Macaca mulatta: one gene and its partner. The protein of the gene in region 1 interacts with the protein of each later gene in a biochemical or structural test. Links are inferred from orthologs where the notes say so. Each region holds a gene or a part of one and is shown on either strand. Other genes may lie near its edges.

Region 1 (3,500 bases):
TTTTTAACTCCTTTCAAAAGACGAACATCTACACATAAAATTATAAATTGAACATGAGCATCAGTTATTTAAGCAACTACTGCAAAGCCACACTAGAGCCACAGAAACACTTAACTGAGTTTAAGTAGGTCAGAAATGCAGAAATTCAGAAAAGTTAAGAATAAACGCCATGCCAGAAGCCATCTGTGTCAGTGACAATGTTAGTTCATATACTGTGGACTGGGGAAAAAATATTAGATGAAATATTTACATATGCAATACATTTTTGTTATTCTGTTAACTATATAGTAAACTTTTTTATATTTAGATAATCAACAATTATTAATAGCAAAGTTCAGAAAATGCTAAACAGAGATACATGTATTATTTTTAGTATATGTGCACAATCTCAAAGAGACAGACACATAAACATATAAAATTAATATTTTTGTTAGAAATAGTGGGGAGTAAAGGAGAGGATAGAAACACACATTATCATCCCAATTGTCCTGGCTGAGTTTAAATTTGGAACTCTATTCCCAGTACCAGAGAAAAACACCTAGAATATAAAGAGATAATCAGTAATTCAGAGACTCTTGTTTCATCTTGTTTAGAAAACAAAGAGTGCCAATTAAGGAAAATAATTAAGTTCATAAAGAAAAGAATGAAAAACTCACGTTCAATTACCTTTTCTAACTTTTTGGCTTCAATATGTCGAAGTACTTGTTCTCTCCAGTCATGAGGAACTTTACTTTTTCCTGGAGGATCTAATAAAGAATGCTCAGAACCAACCCTTGCATTTGGTCTTTTTGAAGGACTAGTCCGTGAATAATTGAAATCACTAACTGACATAGTTCTCTCTGGTATTTCATTAACAGAGGGTCGAGCACTCTGAGGTCTTGATGCATTTGGACCATCTATGCTGTATGTTCGTGCAGAAAGAGGTCTCTGTGATCCTGGCATCATTTGAGGAGTTCTTCCCACTGAGTGGAACTCTCTGTATGATAAATAATCTCCTTCAGGAATCTGGGCCCGCCTGGTAGAACCTGGATCACCAAGATTTACAGAGGCTGTGGAGGACACACTACTTTGTCGCTGAATTGTACTTCGAGTTACTGCAGGAATAAGTCGGTCGTTTGGTGAGATGGCCCACATTTCCCCATGTCTCGCTGGGCCAAGTCTCTGATGTAAATGGTATGCAGTATTAGCTCGAACATTGTTATGATTAGAGAAATTCAGATTGGCAGAATGTTTAGCATAACTTTGATTTTCTGTGCTCTCTGATCTAGGAAGGCGCTGAGGAGGAAAACTGGCATGATCTATTTGGGGATTTTGTTTGGAGTGCCACAAGGTGTCTTTGACTGCAGCATTGCTACTGTATTGGATATTATACTGTGGAGGACCATATATTTGAGGTGTAGATTGTGGGCCACTTGTGGGACCTCTTATTATATTTGGTTCTTCGGGATTATGATTTGAATCGAACTTGAAAATTGCCTTTGTTCCTGATATTAAATCAGAAGATGAAGAAGAACCAGTAAATACCTGCAATGGTTGATCATACAACAGTGTGGCAGACTTGCTCCTGACTATATTTTTTCCATCGACAGTAGATGTGATTTTAACGGTTGTACTTGGTTGCTGAGGTCCATTACCACTAAGAATATCATAGATTTTTAGCCCTCCAATCTCCATATTAGTTATGCTATGAGATTTCACAACAGATCCAACTGGACCACTTTTCTGAGGGGAGAGATCTTCAGTGCTTTTGGAAATACCTAAGTCAACAGAACAATCACTGTCATGTGGTTCAGTCCTATTAGGAGACTGTGAAGTTTCCTCAGAATGTCCATTTACCTTATTTACAGATTCCAAATTAGGATACTTGTTTCCATTTTCCAAGTGCTCAGTTTCCTCTTTAGAATTAATGCTTAAAAAGCTTGTTCCAAGCATGATATCCTGTGGTTTTGATCTTTCCATCTCTGGTTGAAACGTATCATTAGTTATAAGCTTATTAAGATTCATATTGATGTGATCTAATTTGTGAGTGTCATCAGCTGTGGCTGTTGAGTCAACACTTTTCTCAATTAGAACTAATCGCTCTTCGATATTCAAATCATATTCAGGTAAGTTAAAATCTTTTTTATCATGAGCTTTGAACTTTTCCTCTGTTGAATTGTTTAAAATATCTCCATTTTGTAAAAGGCTGTTAAAATTTTCATCTTCTTGCCTAAAATAAAGATAATTTTATGAAAAACATAATAAAGCCAAACTTTCTTAGTAACAGGGAACATTAATAAATAAATTGCGTAGGTAGACAAGTTAAAAAACTTAATAAATTAAGTCAAAGACAAAAGGCATTTATTATCAAGTATGTAATTTAAAAATATTATCTTAAAAGAGCTTTATATTCAGTTGCAGACAAGTAATACAATTAAGTTATAGATAAAACCAAGATTAATTTTCATCAATATGCTCAATCTAATTTGTCACAAAATTCAAAGGGCTGAACTATGAATAAAATTAGAATTTTTAATCTGCTGCATCTTTTCATGAATATGCTAAAAAAACAAAATGCTTGAAAGAGGGCAAATATATGGAAAGAAAACTAGTAACATGAATAGTGGAGTAAAGCGCACAGGACATTTTTACAGTTAATTTTGAAGCCTTACATTATTAACCAAATTAACCACAGTTAACGAAGTACACAGCTGTTATTACATTCAAATATACAGGTAAGAAAACTGTACAAAGCCAAGAACTGAATAATTGTCCAAAGTATTATATCAAATATGTAAAAGGCATAAAAAGATACATGAAGTCTAATCACTCTTCTAAGTAGCTAGCTGTATTTGGCAAATACTTTTAAAAGTGTCACTCCAAAATTATAGAAAATATTTTATTTTTACCTGGTGGTATAAAGTATTTGTGTCCTCTTGAATACATATTCAAGTTATGTTTCCACAAAAATTCCCTAATACTGGGTCTTCCCATTACAAAAAAGAAAACTTTCATTACTAGAAACACAGCACAAAAAGGTGTTGCTGTATTCCTTGCTTAGGCTTTATTCATTATATTAAAAGCAGGATTTAGAAAATATACCACTTTCCCAACAATAAAAAAAATTTTATTATTCAACAAATTAATACGATAATATCTAGGAGGTTATAAAAATTAGTATTTTAAACAGTAGCTCATAGCCTCAAATTCAAAGAATAGAAATAAATGATTGATTGTAATTACACAATACCTTAACTCATTTTCAGGCATAAAATTCATATCCCTTTTCCAACAATACATGTTAATATACAAATTTTACTTAAATACGCCTGAAATTTAAGAACAACTCTAAATGACTGTTAAAAATATCCATACATTAAGCTTTTGGTTTAGTAGTAACCCCAAGTAACCCCATTTTTTTTTTTTTTGAGACAGGGTCTCAATTCTGTCACCCATGCTGGAGTGCAGTAGCCTGATCATGACTTGCTGCAGCCTAAACCTCCCAGGCTACAGAACCTCCC
Region 2 (3,500 bases), on another chromosome or scaffold:
TTTGAAGAAGGACAACGAGGAAAGCGAACAACTTCCAGTTCCAGGAACTCCCACGCTGAGGAATCGCACCTTCTCCGAGTCTTCGGTTTGGTCTCAGCAATCTTCTAGACCCTCCTTGAAAGATGGTGCTGTGGAGACCCAAGATGTGAGTTACCTCCTGTTACAACACGGCCTGGTTTTGTTGACTGCTAATGGCCTTATGGATCTTTAGTCTCCTCTGTTTGAAGCATCGTCTTTTGTCCCAAAGTAGATTCTGTGGTTTCAAGGCCCTGTTCCGTGATATTGGTAGATTAAAACAGAACCAAGGCAAACAACTCTGGTTGGAGTAATCCTTTGCGTGTAGGCTGGGGAATGTCATGGAGATGAGTAGCAGGTGTGTGTACTGGTGCAAGTCCCAAGCTGTGTGTGACTCACGCTAATATTACAATTCTTGAATTTACTGTAGTGAAGTCCTAGTTAGTCTGGTAGACCCCGACTTCTCTTTGCATCCAGAGGCATAATTTGAAGACCACCTTAGAGAAAGTCCTGCTGTGGGCCACATGAAGTTAGCCACTTTTCCTATATGTTGGAATGTTCTGACGCCGCACGTGGCTGAGGGAGGTATTTTGCCCTGTTGTCAGATGGTTTATGTTAGGCTAGAAGTAGCACGTGCAAAGACCCAACAGTTGCTGACACACAGCAGCCCATCTTCCTTCTTTACCTTTCAAGGGTAGGAGCTGCATCTTACTCATCTTGGTATTCCCAGTGGCCAACATAGAGCTGCTCAGTACATCCTCAGAGTATGTGAATCTCATGCCTTCTAAGTCCTCCAGGCAGAAATGTACCAGAGCTCACTTAAAAACATAGATATTCCTTGCCACACTAACCCTCACTATCCAAATCCAGGAGCCTGAAGGATTCTTGCAGATATTCAGATTAGGCCCTCACATGCCAAATTCTCAGGAGTCAATTTCTGAAACTCAGGAACCAAACAGATTAGGATCATATGCTATCCCTTGCTTTCCAAACTCTGGTTACTCAGACTCACTGCTTGAACCCAGTTACTGTATTGAGCTCATGTTTTGACCTTCTGCTCTTTTATGCTTCCATATTGAGTGATGCAGTTGAGAGTTCCATATCTTTCTGTACATGATTTTGGAACAAGTTTCTGTATGTATACTTGAATTTGGATGTGCTCGGTAAGTGCTGGACATTCTGATGTCATCCTGCCAGCAAGCCATGCCACAGTGTACAAATGATATTTCCTTACCTCTAGTAGAACCTTGAAAGTGGGATGGCTGAGTCCAGGGATTAGTGCATGTAGCTGGGTGTGGTGGCTCATGCCTGTCATCCCAGCACTTTGGAAGGCTGAGGCAAGAGGATCACCTGAGGTCAGGAGTTCCAGACCAGCCTGGCCAACATGGTGAAAACCTGTCTCCACTAAAAAATACAAAAATTAGCCAGGCGTGGTAGCAGGCATCTGTAATCCCAGCTACTCAGGAGGCTGAGGCAGGAGAATCGCTTGAACCTAGCTAGGAGGCAGAGGTTGCAGTGAGCCAAGATCGCTCCACTACACTCCAACCTGGGCAACAGTAGCGAAACTTCGTCTCAAAAAATATTAAATAAATAAAAAGTAAGTACATGTATAGTTTGGCTGGATATTTCCACACCCTTCTCCACAGGAGATGGATCATTTTGGACTTCTGCCTGTTTCCCCACAGCTTTGTCAACAGAGTGCATTGTCATCTTTGGGAACAGTTTTGTATACGATTTTGTCTCTTACCACCCTTTCCTTTGCAGACGGAGAATGTCCCAGTTACACTCTCAGACGAGAACCGTTCTGAAGGAAAAGTTGGTTTTCAGGCCTATAAGAATTACTTCAGAGCTGGTGCTCACTGGATTGTCATCATTTTCCTTATTCTCCTAAACACTGCAGCTCAGGTAAATAATGACATTTGTTTTGTGCCCTCAAAATGATATTTACAGTACCTGTGTTTATGCTATTTTGACTGCATCTTGCAGTTCACTTGGGATCTGAATTGAAATGTGCTGTCTTTGGGGAACAAAGTGAGGGCTGCCTAGTGGTGTCCCATTACAAAGACCTTCTGCGGAAAAAAAAAGGGTATCTTTCAATGATTTTAAAATGGAACATGCGTTTTCTTGAGTTCTTGATATCTGGGAGTTTGGGCTCAGCGTAGACCTGAGCTGGAAGAACTATGCAAGTTCTCTGAGCTTTTTATTCTTTCTATTTTTTTCTTTTTCTCTTTTTTTCTTTTTTTTTTTTTTGAGATGGAGTTTTGCACTGTTGCCCAGGTTGGAGTGCAGTAGCGCAATCTTGGCTCACTGCAACCTCCGCCTCCCGGGCTTAAGCAGTTCTCCTATCTCAGCCTCCGGAGTAGCTGGGACTACAGGCACATGTGCCACCATGCCTGGCTAGGCTCATTTTTGTATTTTTAGTAGACCTAGGGTTTCATTATGTTGGCCAGGCTGGTCTTGAACTCCTGGCCTTAAGTTGATCTGCCTGCCTCAGCCTCCCAAAGTGCTGGGGTTGCAAGCATGAGCCACCACGCACAGCTTTGAGGGCTTTCTTTCGATTGTCCATGTTAGCGATTGAGAGTTTTGAGTTGGTAAGTCATGCCCAAGTTTGATTTTTGTCTTTGTTGTTTCTCACCTCCTAGGTTGCCTATGTTCTTCAAGATTGGTGGCTTTCGTACTGGTAAGTTATTTCTGACGTATGAAATAGTCAAACATCAGTAAGAAGACTCGCTTTTCCGTAGAGTTAGGGGGAGATATTTGTTGATCCTTCTCTTCTAATCCTCACTTAGTTTACCCGAAGAAAAGTTAGAGTGCTTGCTGGTGGAGTGTAACCTGTGGTGGTCTCCACCCATGTCTGATCCGCGGCATCATGTTCACAGACAGTTTCGGGAACTGAAAGTCGTGATTTAAATTGAATTTTTATGAGGTAGATACACACAGGACTATATGAGCTGAGAATCATTTTCCAGCATAAAGCATTTCTCTCAAATTGTGGTTCATTTTTTAAAAAAAGGTATTTCTCTAAATTCCATATATAGCTTAATATTTTTTTCTCCCCATGTTCCATAGGGCAAACCAACAAAGTACGCTAAATGTCACTGTAAATGGAGGAGGAAATGTAACCAAGAAGCTAGATCTTAACTGGTACTTAGGAATTTATTCAGGTAAAGTTAAATCATTTGGTCTATTATATGAGAGGCTGAGGTGCTTACAATGAGCCTGTGTGAGTAACCAGGGCTTCCAGGAGTAATTCAGTAATGTCTTAACAGATTAGGAGTCTCAGTCGAATTTACTCTGTGAATTAATTAGAATAATTATTTTAAAAGTCTACTAGAAGAAAGAGGTTGAATGAAGACTCTTAATGTGCTCTGTACTGGATTTTGAAAGTTAAACCAGGATTGAGCATTCAGAAAATCAGCCACTGGAAATATGTGGCTATTGTCTATTCTAATAGGTTGCTTTAGCTAAATCTTATATCATTATAC

The links. The genes of interacting proteins can lie anywhere in the genome.
Region 2: the proteins of ERBIN (region 1) and ABCC4 interact in a test that uses a peptide from one of them, tested with the Homo sapiens proteins (2 studies listed by BioGRID and IntAct). The link is inferred for Macaca mulatta from reciprocal best matches to the Homo sapiens genes ERBIN and ABCC4.

Annotation. Positions count from the first base shown.
Region 1 is NC_133411.1:74,157,244-74,160,743, reverse strand, and holds part of ERBIN (erbin), read right to left. Parts: intron 2,210-3,500; coding exon 667-2,209; intron 1-666. UniProt on the Homo sapiens protein: Acts as an adapter for the receptor ERBB2, in epithelia. By binding the unphosphorylated 'Tyr-1248' of receptor ERBB2, it may contribute to stabilize this unphosphorylated state.
Region 2 is NC_133422.1:89,898,992-89,902,491, reverse strand, and holds part of ABCC4 (ATP-binding cassette sub-family C member 4), read left to right. Parts: coding exon 1-145; intron 146-1,779; coding exon 1,780-1,920; intron 1,921-2,657; coding exon 2,658-2,695; intron 2,696-3,084; coding exon 3,085-3,179; intron 3,180-3,500. UniProt on the Homo sapiens protein: ATP-dependent transporter of the ATP-binding cassette (ABC) family that actively extrudes physiological compounds and xenobiotics from cells.